2 linked regions of the Lepisosteus oculatus genome follow. The protein of the gene in region 1 interacts with the protein of each later gene in a pairwise test. Links are inferred from orthologs where the notes say so. Each region holds a gene or a part of one and is shown on either strand. Other genes may lie near its edges.

Region 1 (7,789 bases):
AACTCGCACAGCACACTTACTATGCAATCTTAACCAGCTGCCCTCAAGTCTTCATTTAATATTAAAAGATCTGATACTGACACCTGCTATCCAGTATTGTTTTGGTGAAGAGAAAAATGAATCTCTACAAAAACGGTAGACAAATCTCTAAAAATATATTTTGAAGCATTTTCTGTCAGTTCTACCAACACTACTGCTCTCCATACAATAGTTTTGTTATTCAATCCACACAGCACAGACATAAAATGACACCTGAAGAAGGCTCCACGGCCGAAACGTTGTGTTCTCTTTCTTCTTTTTTTCAGCATGGAATAAACCTATTACTTATTCCATAAAAGGAGAGGCCTGGTGAAAGTGATGTGGAAATTAAGTTGTGTACTTCATATTCACATCTGATCTTAAATCTTAAAATCTTAAAAACATTTTACTATAAATGTTTCCACCCATCTTCTAGCCGCTTTACCTAATAAAAAATTTCGGGGGAGCTGGGGCCTAACTTGGCAAGCAATGGATGCAAGGCAAGATACACACTGCATGCGATGCTAGTCCATTGCAGGGCACAAACAGACACAAACACACACACACTTATACAAATTTTTCCAGAAGCTAATTAACCTACCAGTGTTTTTGGACAGTACAGGTAAAACGGGGGAACCGGAGGAAACTCACAAGAACACGGGTAGAACATAGAAACTCCACACTGATAGCACGCTAAGAATTAAACCCAAGCCCCAGTGCTGTAAAGCTCTGTAAACCACTGTTCCACTATGCCACCCCGAAATAATGTTACGTGTTATAAAACAGATATGAATCTGAGCTGTGAATGTAACCTTTACATTTGTAAATGGCATTTTGTACTCCACTCAACTTAATACATTATGAAACTTCATATCAAAATAATTAACCCAGACTTCACATTTTTGCTTCAACTTTTGTCAAATAAAAGTTATAATCATTATTCAGGATTCTGTGAGGAGATGGATTTTTCTGACCAGAAATCAAGGAATGTTAGTGTTCTTCCTCAGTACAATGCTAACTGTTAGTCAAAGACTAAATTGACATAAAAACTATCAGAAAAATTAAAATCACACTGTTTTGAGAATGTAGAAAACCACTAAAGATAGGACACAGTAAGCTTATTAATAGCAATTGCAGAAACTAAAACATTAAACTAATAATAATAATCAAAATACACTCCATATGTTTCCCTTGACTTGTAAAATGAGCAGTTAGTCATGGTGAGCATCTTGTGCTGTTAGAGGTTCTCATTACAAATCTCATTATTTATTGAGCTGCACTTACACCTTAATCAGACAAGCCATACTGTTTGAGTTTCACTTAGCAACTTTGTGTGAAGGCCTAGCTGTTACCTAGGAGACCTTTTTTCATGTAGTTCTTGTAAATGCAAAATGAACAGCCCTTTATTTCCCATACTGTCCTTCCTTTGATTTCACTTAAACAAATAACATACCAGAATATCCAGGCCTATATAGGAAATTACACAATTGAGTTCTTTCAGGCACTGTACTAGAAATAATGTTAAATGTTGTGGTACAGTACCTTTCCTGACAAACACCTTCTGCCCTACTCCAAACTATGCAATGACATTCTGAACTGAAGCCACATTAAGAAAATGGGTTTCCAGCTATCTGTGTAACTATGCTGTTTATCTGTTATATGGATTAGAGAACAAAATGCCACCCGCAGACACCATCTGTTCTGTTGTTTTTAATGAGGTCTGAAATCTGCATTTTTGAAAACAGAAATGTTTACTATTACTTTAAGATTATTTTGTTAGATTTTTTTAAGTCTGTATATGAACCAATATCAAAGGAAAGTGTGGTTTGAATGAGACAATTCTGACAGTAGAGCTCTTCCAAATAGTGGACAATGAAGTATTTCACTACTTTTTACAGCTAAGTGTGCACCCGAGCTCATCCACTCACCACGACAAAGCGCAGCATTACTAAAAGTCTGATCTGCATTTGACACCATGAACAATGGATGAAAACAATGAACCACATGGAAAATCATCTTGTTGGCACATACCTTATGATAATTACCCACACCAGCACTGATCATTGATTGCTGGGTAGTAATGATCTTCTTCCTCCTCTTTAGCTCCTCCTTAAGTAATTTGATCTCCTCATTTTGCTTCATTGTTTCCCTTTTGATCTGTTCTTTCTCCAGAATGGAGGCCTGCAGCTTCTCCTCCACGGACTGCAGGCTGCTGGTGAGGTATTCCTGAGAGTGTAGCAGGTATTCGACCGTGAGCTGGGCTAACCTGAAGACCTTCAACAGAACCGGGTCCACTGGGTTCTGGCAGTAAGGGCAGCGCTCGTTCTCCACGGTACAGAATGTGATGCCCATGATATTCTCCTGCAGGGTATTGAAGTCCAGGTCGCTGGCCACGCGGTCAACATCGATGGCACTTATCCTGCGCCAGTCCACGCTCTCTCGGCGAGCTCGGAACTTGAAAGATGGGATGTGAGCCCCTGTCATTGATGGTCCAGAGATCACAGAGGACTGCTGGGGGATGCTGGAAGAGCGCTGGCTTTGAGGAGAGTTCAAAATGGATGGGATTCCGGCAGATGAACAGGTCCCTGGGGTTTCAGACGGATAAGGATAGTATATATTGTTGTAAAATGGCTGCAATGAAAAAATATATATTTCCACTTAAATATCCAAGCACAGCAGAAATGTGATCAGTGGTTTATGATAAAATAAAACCAAACCCAACAACCACTCCGACTAAGCCTTACCCAGAAATCAATGCAAACAAATTACTACATCAATAACGATAGCTCATATTTAGCAAATACCTCGTTTCTGGGAACTAACAAGTCGCAGAATACTGTTATTGTTCAAAAATCAAGAAAGAAGAAGTGTGGAATGCCTGATTAAAAAACAACACAAAATCGAACTGTCGCAGGCACGGTGGTTCTGCGGAGCTGTGAAATCCTCCCTGCATTTCTCCTTACCATCCCTGACTTGCGGCTCTTTGCTTGAGAAGAGAACGATTCAGCGGTATGGTGCCTCCCCCTTCGTCTTTGTGCAGTGACAGGGATCAGGGCGTCTTTGCAGTCTCCTAGGTAACCAGAATTAGCATCACTGTGTGCCTGGCACCACACCGCTCAAGAGCTCCGGGATGCTGCAACAGGCAGGCAGACAACAAGCCTTAAAAATTGATAGAAAAAGACGACGTTTTAAATGTCGTAAACATCAGTCATGCAGTTACTAACACAATAACGAACGTTTTACAATTTAATAAATGGCATACAGAAATTATGTAGATGAAATGAAGCATATCATCGTTAATAGCGTCCTTTATTCCATAACTCACGTAATGGTTACTACCTGTTTTACAATTGAGTTACAGGATACTGTTTTTACTGTTCAGTAGGCACTTTTGGCTAGAGCAAATCTGCGTTGCTTTGGACACTGTTTAATCGAATTTATAGCTTCATTTAAAAAAAAAAGTTATTGTCGCATTAAGAATGAAATTAAGTTATTAGATTTTGCAAAAGCACAAAGAAAAGACTTATTTCATCCATACTTGGTAACTGGAGTTACATTTCTAATGCATCTAGAATTATAAACTAAAGATATTTTGTATAAAGATTACAATATATGCTTCTGATATAAGCTAAGAAAAAATACTGTTTTTTGGTGCAAAAACATCAATGCTCCAGTTTCGTGAACTTTTTTCATGTTTTCAATCACGGGAAATTTCTTGCATCAAAATGGGTCTTCTCATATTTTCTTCTAATTAACGAATCAAATTTAAATACGTGTAAATCTATCCTGGCAGATTTTCAATGGTTTATTTTATGTGAAGACTAAAAACGCTTGATTTCTAAGTGTTTTGGTACACTTCGGTACTGGGTTTATATTCTAGTTGCTATTCTTTGAAATCCTCGTTTACATCAACTATGAAAACACACATTCTATCAAACCAGAGTCAATGTTATCATCAACTACTGTAATTACAGTACAGAAACAACCCCTTTTCCGATTAAAATTAACGGCACATTTGTGTCGCATTTATTTTAAATGTACTAAAGATTTTCAGAGCCAAAATTGTGATCGGGTTTTAGAGAAAATAATTATGGACATATAGTGCTAATAACTGGTTTAGTCATCTCGAGCGATTCCACGCCCTGTGGGTAAGATCTCAGATTTCTTAAACCTGGCATCTGCTCAGATTTGAGTTTATGATGTGATGTCCCTGTTATTTATACAAAACTTTATCTACAATCTCTCATTCCGTCGCGCACTTTCTTCGAGTTAAGGACATCTTTCAAGCATCTCATGATTTTATTTAATAACAACAACGCACGATTTGCGTGTGCGTGACAGTTTGCTGGTTCACACATCACCAAGCAAGTAGCCACTCATCAGACTCGGCCTTTCTCGCGGTCCAAGCCATCTGCCGGCAAAACAACAAAGCGCACTCCTCAAGACAACAGCTCATTTCCAAAAACTCAAGTCTGGACAGGCAGGCTCAGGCAAAACAAGCAGCAACGCCAAGAACTGACTCGTTTTCTACATAGAAACAAAAAACCCAAAGATGTAAAAGCTTGCCTTGCTAACTCTGTGTGCAAAAGATCTTAAACCTTTGAACTACAAGAAGCTACAGCAGGATACCAAGATAACTTGAAAAGTAACGGGAGTGTTGCGGACAAGTCAATTTGGGGGGAAAACAAACAGGAAATGGTTGGTTAGTAAAAGTGCAATTACGTACAGAATGAAATACTCACCCCACCTCGGAGATCAGTTTATTTTTTGTTTCTCCGTCCCAAATGAAAACTCTTCAGCGGGGAAGTTTCTTGGAACTCGAAAGCAGCCTGGTGGCGCGGTGACGCGCACATTCCAAAACCTCTTCATCACCGTCTCTCCCAGCGCGCAGAGAGGCTGGAGGGGGAAGGGAAAGTCTGAACGAGCGGTGCAGGGAGATTTAGGGGGGACAGATGAGGCTCACATTACCTCACACAGTATGCAAAACGGAGGTGGAGAATGAAGCCATATGTTCCGAGCTTCCGGAGGATTAGTAGAAATTCATTGCTGGGTTTGAGAGCAGAGCCTGTTGATGAGGGGCTTCAAAAACCCTTTTGTCACAAATTTAAATCCGTGTGGAAGTCTGCATACTTAAGCTATTTCTTCTTTCAAACTCCCTTCCTACAAATAATATGAGCTGAAACAGTGAGAACTTTTGCGTGCTTCGTATAGCAAAGAATTCGAATTTCTTTGGAAATTGTTACTTATATAACTTTTTGTGTTATTTAATTAGTTTTTAGGTAAGGCGCCTTTATTATTCTCGTGTGTGTTTGCTTTCTTTGCTAAATGCAACAGACCAATCAAATTCAGTACATAGTTTATAATGCAATTACTGAATATCAACATCTTGCTCAGAATCAGAATAAATTATAATTGCATTATAAACATTGATCTCTGAGTCCTTTATTGGTCAATTGCACTATCCAGATCCGATATAAGGCTCTGAAAACGTATAGTGCACCCATAGCTTCTTATTTTTGAGAAAACGAGACTGGTGTTTTACAAAAAAAAAAGTAAACCAATGTAACCTACCTTGTATTCATTTTTAGTTTCTAAGTATTACTGTGTGCGTTTGTGTAATGTTCCCATTAGAACTGACGCTGCTTCTTCTAGGGTAGCAGTTCCAACAGCGTAAAATAATCTTATATCTACAAAAAGACTGAAGGATAAGAAAAACTACATTTGCAACGCAATCAGGATGGTAGAGGTGGGGGTAGGGTTGACTCAGGTAAGAAGGTCAATGGAAAAATAATCTAAATGATCTAATGCTAATTCTGTAACTTAAGAAAACAGTTAAACTAGTGGTTGAAATCACTCAATAATAAAAAACGTGGCTCCAATAGATTCCACAAAATTAGTGTCATGATCAGTACCTGGATGGGATATCTCCTGGGAAAAACCAGGGTTGCTTGTTGGAAAAGGTGTTAGTGCGGCCAGGAGGGGGCGCTCACCCTGTGGTCTGTGTGGGTCCTAATGCCCCAGTATAGAGACAGGGACACTATACTGTAAAAAGGCGCCGTCTTTTGGATGAGACATACTGTAAAACCGAGGTCCTGACTCATAGCGGGTGTTAAAAATCCCAGGGCCTTTCTCAAAAATAGTAGGAGTGTAACCCTGGCATCCTGGCCAAATATCTTATTGGCTTTTACCAATCTTGGCCTCCTAATAATCCCCATCTATGAATTGGCTTCATCACTCTGTTCTCCTCCCCATTAATAGCTGATGTGTGGTGAGCGTTCTTGTGCACTCTGGTTGCTGTCGCATGATACAGGTGGATGCTGCACATTGGTGGTGGTGGACGGTGTCCCCATTACCTGTAAAGCGCTTTGAGTGGAGTGTCCAGAAAAGCGCTTATACAAGTATAAGCAATTATTATTATTTGTTCTTCTGTATTAATTAAAGAAAATACAATTGTATTTGTATTGCAACTTAGTTCAGACACTGATTAGAAATTGGCATGGAGAAAGCATTCATAAGAGAAATGAAAGTGTTTCAAAACTCTACACTCTGTCTATGCATGCAAGCTATTAGATAAATAATATGACTTGTTAATATTGATAAAATGTTTTGGGGTAATTTTTATTATTTGAAGATTCATGACTGTTACATTCAAGTGACTTCAAGTTTATTCTTCTCTTTTCAGCATGGAATAAACCTTTAACTTGTTCTTTTGGAGCCTACGCATACTGACACGGCTACTTACTTGAACTGATTTATCCCATAGACTGCCGAGCCAGTTGTAGTAATCAAGTAGTACAAGCACAGAAAGGATCCAATATGTCCTGCTTATCAAGAGAAGAATGGCTTTGTGCCATCGGTATGTTGCAGGCTGGACTAAGTCAAGGCACTGTCAGGCACCATCTGGGGTGTTTACAGCTTATAGCAATGTCTAATCTGGCAAGATTGTGCAGCCAATTTCAGCCTGCTAATGACTGACCCTGATCTCAGAGTCACAATTCTGCACCAGGATTGACATTTCATCATGTTTATTCTTTACGATTTCTTTCACGCAGCCACTACAACAGAAGGAACTGGTCACAACAACCCCATGTGTCTAAAGTTAGGGAGCTAAACAGTCATCATTTAAAGAACAGACAAGCAAAGCAACAAGTGAGCCCAGTGTTGATCAATGCAATAGAATAAAATAGACTCACCAGGAATGCAACTAATGCATTTTTAATTTATGTTTTGTGTGGACCTCTCATAAAATGTCATTTTATGAGTAATCCAGACATGTAGAGCAATACAATAATTGGTGTGTACAGCAGACCATTTGAGCCAGACCAAGTGTGATAGTTTGGGCAGAATTGCTCTTGTGGTGATTAAGTGGAACAAAAAACAGAGGTGTGGGAGTCATAGTGGTATAGTGATTAGCATTGCTGCCTTTCAGCACTGGGGCTCTTGGTTCAATTCCAGACCCTGTGTGTGATCTGTGTTGGTTGTATGTACTCCCTGTGTGTGTGAGAGTTTTTTTCCACAACAAATGCTGGTAGACTACTTTTAGGAAAATTGGTATGAGAGTGTGTGTGTTTGTGTCTGTTCCCTCATGATGTGCCCTGTGATGGACTGGCATCCCCTCCAGGGTATACACACTGCTTTTTCTTATTGCTTGCTAGGAAATGCTCTGCCTCCCCTGTGACCCTGAGTTAGCTGAAGAGGTTAGAGACTGGATGGCTGGAAAAATAGGAGGACTGATGACGGAGATACACATCTCTTATCTGTGACAAGAGTA
Region 2 (7,579 bases), on another chromosome or scaffold:
TTCCTTCCTTTCTTTTATCCTTAAAGTCTTCAATAAGCTGTTTAGGACATAGTTTCCTAATATGCCACTTATCCTATTTCACGAATGAATTTCCTTTGACCCTTTAATATTATAACAATCCTTCTGTGAATCTGAATTCACTTATTTCCAGTTCCCTCTCTGTGAACCCCGCCTTGTCTCTTCACAGTCTGCTTTTCTAAATTTATAAAACCTAATTTTAGACACCGCCTTAAGAGATTTAAAGTATGCCAATGGTTCCCATATCATGGTCACAAATTGCCCAGTTGTTCTGCTGCATCTGTTCCTTTATCCTGGTTGTTTCAAAAGACTAGCCCAATAAGAGCACCTATCCTAATGGGTGCCTTTACAAACTAGGTTAAGAACCAACTGAATCAATTTCAGATTCTGTATTTGCTATTGCAACATTCCAGTTTCTGTGTGGAAAATTGAAGTCCCCTCATAATGTTATGTTACCTTGGCTTCTTACATTCCATATCTCATTATACAGAAGAAAATGTGCATTAGAAAGTCTAAAACATATACTTACTGTTAAACACTTAAAATATATATTTTCCAGTTTACCTCGTACATATTCTAAACTGCCTGTATCCTCTTTTTGAGTTGTCTAGTAGGTTGTAGGTTATTTCTGACATATTGTCCCACCAGATCCCCCCTTTAATCCAACTTGTCTTCCTAAACAAATATACCTATTAATTAAAAACCCTTGTCTATGTTTCAGGTATTCCACTGATGTCAGTTACCTGTTAATATGGTATGCTATCTGGGAATGTATGAGGTTATTTCTGGAACCTAGTTCATTTTGTTTTATATTGTTTAAGTAATAAACTAGATTATGGACTTTAATGTTTTATTTGCTATCCAAAGACAAACCACACTAACATCTCTTCACTTTCTCTTTACAGGACTCTAACACACATTCTTCCATGGATTCTATTTCATTTCCATAAGCAAAACAGATTGACCATCTTACGTGTCCAGTGACGTCTCTAGCCCTGTAAATGCAAATACAAAGTCACAACTGACAAAAGTGCCCAAGTATAATTTCATAACAAGTAAAGGTTTATTACTTGCTGAAAGGTGAAGAAGAGAACACCTCTACACATTTGAAGAAGGCTCCGCATTTGAAATGTTGTGTTTCTTTTCTTTACCTTTCAGCATGGAATAAACCTTTACTTGTTATGAAATTAGTTTAACCTTTACCTATCCTTTGCAGCCTGCGCATGCTGATGCAGCTGCTTAAGGGAACATCTTCAAATATAATTTCACTAGGAATAACAACATCCAAGAATTGAGCAAAGTTTATGGAGTGTTTTAAATACAACAAAAATTTGCCGAAAGCCGCTAGGCTGAGGACAGACCTCCTGGCCAGAGGACAAGGAGGTTGAGACCCCTATGTGGAGTGAGGGAGACCAAGAGGCAGCTGCAGAGGTGGAGATGGGGTGGGGGTGGGATGGAAAATTATGTAAGTGAGGGAGAGAAGGCCATTATGTATAGTATTTCTAATGTTAAAGTGAGAAAATGACTTTAATATCGGTTTCAGCTGTCAACAATTTGTAATCAAGATTGATTACAAATTATTGACTGCTGAGACCGATTGAACCTAACTGTTTTTTATCCCTTCCAAACTTCATTTCACTATGAATAACAACACCTGGGAATTAGGTGCATTGAACAGTTTATGGAGTGTTGTTGTCAAAATAAAATGTGGTTTGGTCCATTTCAGAATCAGGGGGAGAGTAAAATGTGAGAGAAGTGTTCTGTGACGTACTGTATGGTTTGAACTGTAGGTTGTACTGGAAGTTAGAAAGATGGAGAAGAGCTGGTTTAAGGGTATTTGTATTGAATCTTATGTAAGCGAGGTAGGCTTCTGATGACCAGAGGCCAAGCTGCTTAATGAGATAGTCAGGAATGCCTTGATGAGCTGCTGGGGAAGCTTTATTCGGGAAGGAATTGCCAGGGAATTGTTCAGCAGCAGATACAGACCTTGTGAGAACATCAAGCAGGTGAAAGAAAATCACAGGAAAATTAAAGAAAGTACAGATTATTTATTTTTAGAAGCAGCAGTAACCATTGCCCATTTAATATTTCTAGTTTAATAATACTATGGCAGTCATACTTGCAGGCCTGGACCTCTGGAACACTAAGGCTCCCATTTTGGATGGGCTGTAGGAACATACTATAAAATCATAAGAAATAATAGAAATTAATGGAGGCCACTTCTGTTTAGTTTCTACTTGTGCCCTCTGGTTCGTGCTGCATTGCTTATTTGGATGAAGTTGTTGGGTTGCCTTTGTCAATGCCTTTGAAATTTTGAATACTTATATCTAATCCCATTGTAGTCTTCTCTGTTCAAGACTGAAAAGGTTCAGTTCCTTCAGCCTGGGAGTGTAGGACATTCCAATAAAACCCAGATTGTATTTTTGTTCCACCTCTCTGGACAGATTCCAGAGCAGCAATATTTTTTTTTCTGCAACGTGGCGACCAAAAATGTACACAAAATGAATAAATAAGACCTTGCTAGTGCATTATACACCTTTAATGGACAGAGAAGGAGTCACTCATATTGAACTAGTAATTATATACTTTTATTGTTCTTATATTTGAGAAAAACTTTCTTTTAAGTACTCTGCTACATAGTTATAGGAGTGAGAAATTGTTAAAATATTAGCTGTGCAAATCATCACATTAATTAAAGGTCTAAAATGCAAAAATGCTCATCTGATTATTGGGACAGGTGTACAATATCCTGTCATTACAATAGCAGTAAAGAACAGAACCATAGCTGTGCATTAAAGTAAACAATCATATAATTGCTTGGTAGCACGTTTTATTTCTTAATAGTACAAAGGGCAATTTCCTCTGCCCAGATAGAGAAACATCCTAATTTATGATGCATTGAAGCTATATTTGATAAAATAAATTACTGATTGCTGCTTTAAACAGACGTTCTCAGAGCTAATAAATATCACAGGTATACCTTCATTAACTAACACAGATGCAAAGCCATCCTTAGATATAATATCCTTGAAAATATAACTGTGCAACCTCCTCACCAATGACTTTATTATATTATTCTCTGCAGAAGGAAATGAAGTGTACTGGTTGCTTGAAGATAATTACCTTTTATGAAAGAGGATAATCTGTGAAGAAAACCGCAAGGAAATTAAAGTCAGTGGAACCTATGCAACACACCACACACACACAGAAAACCTGGCAGTTATTCAAACTAAAAAAATAGTCAAGGCAGAGAGAGGGAAACAGATTGTTTGATTATGGTGTGACAGGCATCACAGCAATAACTGCATAAGAAGAATCAGCAGTTGGTCATTAGGATCATGCTATCTGACAACCAGACTCCTCCTCATTTAAACATGTGCTGCCTTGCAGTGTGTGAGGGTCGTCTAGGAAACAGCAGCAAGAATACTCATGTCACTGGCATCAGTAACAAAGTCATTTCTGTTTTGGGGGAACATGTTAGTACCTCCTTAGTTTATCAAAGGCCCAACTAGCTAACCCAGGAATACTCTGCAGTTCTTTTACAGTTGTGGGCAGTGTATGCAAGATGTATTCCGTCTAAATAGAAAATGGAGAAAAAGGGAATATTTCATGCCAAGTGAATAAAGTGAGACTACTTGCCTGGGTATCCTAACAGAGTTACTATTTCACAGACACACCTGTGCATTTTGTCCTACTCAAGAGTCCAGGGTGACTTTTTTTATTACAGTACACAGTTTATAATTATACTTAATTATACACGTAATTATAATTATATAATTAATTATATGAACATACTTGGAGACACACATAGCTAAATCACTTTTTTAAACTCCTGCTATAAAGTGAGATTTTTATTCAATCACAAAAATGTCTTCTTTCAAAAAATGGTAGAGAATTAAAAATCACCAGTATTTTAAGTGCGATTTTCATGGAAAAAAATAAAACTGAGTTAATACCTCAAGCAACATTTCCACAACTCAGCTTTATGAACAACGCAAACCACACTCGCATCAACCATTTTAACTTCCAATCCTGTGAATTTAAAAGATTCCCCGCCTATCAGAAGTTTGTTACTTATGACTGGATTAACTGTACGTCTGTCAAAAGACTGATCACAGCCTTCAGAGCCCAAGTATGTTTTGCTCGTCTATTGGCCAGGCAGCCACTGCTGTAACTTTTCATTGGCAGGGTCATCATCGCTCAAAGCCCGCCCTCCCTGTCCAAGTCTGTCTAGGAAACCAGTTTCCTGATGAATCTCATTGGATGAATATGAGGAGGGAGGAGGGGTTTCTTCGTCTACCACTTTTCATTGGAGAGAATGCCAGTCTGTCATCTACGACTCGTGTGACGAAAGAAGCTGATATGCTGCTATTGGCTGGACCCTGTTTATGGTTGCGCGAGTTGGGGGGGGGGATACAGACTGGGTACATTGTAGCATTTTATAGTTATGAAATTTTATTTTGTTTGCAGTAAGGGTTGAAAGGAAGCAGGAAGTCTCGTAACAATAAAGCCGAACAGAAAGTTTCTATGAAAGCGCCCGTGCCTTTGTAGGTGTTGCTGCAGAGACGGACGCCTGTCTGTGCGAGAATGGTGGGGCTGGAGCCGCGGCTGCTGAGATAGCTGGAGTCCGCCCGGCTGCCTTCCTGCAGCGCGTCAGTGCCAACAAACAGCTGCGAGTCGGCGAGCAGAACAGACCCACTCGGCATTTTTATAGAGAAAAACTGGATGCATTTCTACAGGAGGAGAACATTGTCTTTTTGACTTCACCGATCATCTTAAAGTTTATTTTTTTCATTTTTGCGGTTGCCATTCACAGTTTTAAACGAACTGGTTTATTTTTTTCTTAAACTTATTTACCATCAATTTATTAATTTTAAAGCTGAACTTCAGCGACCTGTAGATTGTCCATTTAACGCGAATAATGCTCCGGGGTTTGGACTTGCTGTGTACATTTTATGATTCAAAGAAGGAAAGGTCACTGATATAAACCTGGACTGATAAGGTTTAATTATCCGGTTCTGTCAAGAGTTTGGTGCGTTTTCTTGCCGTGGAAAGCTAACCCTGCGTTTATAAAATTACGTTATTAAATAAGATGTTCTTAATGGGACATTCCGGTCAAGGATTAAGCAACGGATGGTTTTAATATTTCATTTTAGGAAGTATTCTTCTCTCTTCAACATCGGAGCGGACTTTTAAGTTTTGTGCTCCCTCATCGAGCGGAAGACTGTTGAAGTGGTAACCTTGAAGTGGATACAATATTGAGCGCAACTGCAACAGCATCAACATGTCGGCTATCTCTGCGGCGGAGAAAGTAGATGGGTTCACTAGGAAATCGATGAGAAAAGCCCAGAAACAGAAGCGATCGCAGGGATCGTCCCAGTTCCGAACCCAGAGCAGCTTCATTGAGCTCTCGCCTCTGCCTCAGCTCAAAGGTAAGAGGATAGAAGCGCCTGAAATAGCCTCTGCGCTGAAGCAGGGGTCGCTTGACGCCGCATCCCGATTTAATACTTGAAAGAGTGGCTTAGTGCAAGCAGTGAGCCAAATTGTCTAGCCCATTCCTAGCAGCCAAGCCTAGGAGAACTGCAGCTACAAAAATACGTGCGGCTTACGGTTCTCCGATATGGACATTTTAGGCAATGAATCCTTCATGAAAACCACAGAGTATGTCTAGATTAAGCTACTTTTATGATGTACATTTGTAAAAGTAAGCACGCAATATGAAGTTAACGGGAAATTAAACATCTGTAGTACAATTATCGAGCTGAAGGCTCGGTATCTGAATTACATTTTGCCCAAGGTAGCGATAGTCTTAGCTACTGTTTTCGTTTTCGTTTTTGGTCGATTTGCTGTCTTGTTGATATTCTATTAAAATGAGCCTTAATTTATCCTTCAATCTGTGCTTTGGGGTGACCGATTCTTTTTATTTGGAAAACGTGCATTGTCGTTTACCGTGTTATTTAAAACGTTCAACAATTGGACTTGTCAGGTTGGCTGCGCGAGTCTAGTTGCTGTACAGTATTTTCTTGCAGGAATACAGTACTCGGCACCTATTTACAGCTCAGCTCTTCCTGTGAAGTAGATAATCTCTCCTAACACGACTAGTCCAGTGACATGCTCTACATTGTTTTACGTAACTGTGATTTCAAAGGCAATCACTGAACTAGGAATTTATATTTTTATCTCCCAGTGGAGTAGTCAATTCATTTTATTAGCCAAAAGTAAAATATGAAAGCTTCAATTATTATTATAGTGGTCCGGGGCTTCTCATACAGAGCATTTTGCTTTACTGTCCATAAACAAAATTCACCCTGTCTAAATCGGTTTTCCCAGAATGTTTCTTCGAATGCATGATGTAGTTTTTAACATATTGCAAGTAATGTGTCACTATAATTTAGCTTTCTTGCAAAAGAGCGCGTTTGAAGTTTGAAGCATACTTAGTTACAGTAAGATGTAGGGTGAGTCAGGAAATGCATTTCAGGGATGAGCACGGACCTACAAGATTATATCACTGGTAAAAGGTGTTTGTTGGTACAAAATTAGCATCTTTCTACAGTAATGTATAAAATCACGTTCAAGATAAGTGAGCGTTAATGAAGGATAGGATTGCTTTGTAGATTTCTCTTTATCAGGTGTGTGTTCATGATTCTTACTCATTAAATATAAAGCATTGGTTTTTAAAAAATCTCAGTTTGGGAAGTTTAAATGTGGGCTACAGTTTTGCATCTTTTACTATTGCCTTTGTGTTAGTGTTTTTTAGTGGAAGCTGCGAAACAAATGGGAAATGTAATGTTTATTATTGGATGGGATTGGGGGGAGATGATAGCTGTCCAAAATGTGTTGATCTGAGACAACACCTCTGCTAAGAAATCAAAATAAAAACAACCAGATGTTCTCTGACACTTTAAAAGTAAATTGAAATACTGATATTTTCCTCCTGTGTCGTTCTACACCAGTGAAGTTGGCCTTTTAAGTAAACAAGTATGTATTTACATCATCATAATAATGTCCTGTTTGTTATTTTATTCTTTTAACAATACTGTTTTATATGTTGTTTATAATAAAGATTGTGTGTGGTGTGGGGACTAATTGGTTATCTATAGCTAGTTGAGAAATGTCATAGTTAATCAAAACCAAACTGGAAACCAATAACATCCTTGTCTTCTCTAGGTTTTGAAAATCGATTGGCTTCCTTTGTCATATTTCTGTTCAGGTTTTCTCTCATATGAGGTTTCTCCTGCCTGCATCTCAGGCCTGCCTACAGATCCAGCCTGTTAGGTTCTGCATGATATGTAGGCCTACTACAGTGGTGACAGGTGTGACTGGCTGTATGAGCACACATACGAACTGATAAAATATACTGGTTTAGACAGATTTGGAGAGAGAGTGAAACCATGACAGCAAATAGGGTCCAGTATGACTGTGGTTTTATTTTTGGATATTTTTCTGGTACCTGTGCGTGTCAACCTTCGGTCAAGAACATTTGCACATGGTAAATTAAGTTGCAGTCAAGTGCATTTTTCCAAGCTAAACAAATTGCGAGGATGCCTGGCAACCTTTGCCA

What was found.
Region 2: the proteins of dzip1 (region 1) and ppp2r5a interact in binary tests that used the Homo sapiens proteins (3 or more experiments, as listed by UniProt). The link is inferred for Lepisosteus oculatus from reciprocal best matches to the Homo sapiens genes DZIP1 and PPP2R5A.

Annotation. Positions count from the first base shown.
Region 1 is NC_090710.1:7,094,512-7,102,300, reverse strand, and holds the start of dzip1 (cilium assembly protein DZIP1), read right to left. Parts: upstream 3,067-7,789; 5' UTR 2,985-3,066; coding exon 2,982-2,984; intron 2,901-2,981; exon of another isoform or gene 2,823-2,900; intron 2,650-2,822; coding exon 2,050-2,649; intron 1-2,049. UniProt on the Homo sapiens protein: Molecular adapter that recruits protein complexes required for cilium assembly and function to the cilium basal body.
Region 2 is NC_090697.1:46,063,930-46,071,508, reverse strand, and holds the start of ppp2r5a (serine/threonine-protein phosphatase 2A 56 kDa regulatory subunit alpha isoform), read left to right. Parts: upstream 1-4,402; 5' UTR 4,403-5,302; coding exon 5,303-5,450; intron 5,451-7,579. UniProt on the Homo sapiens protein: The B regulatory subunit might modulate substrate selectivity and catalytic activity, and might also direct the localization of the catalytic enzyme to a particular subcellular compartment.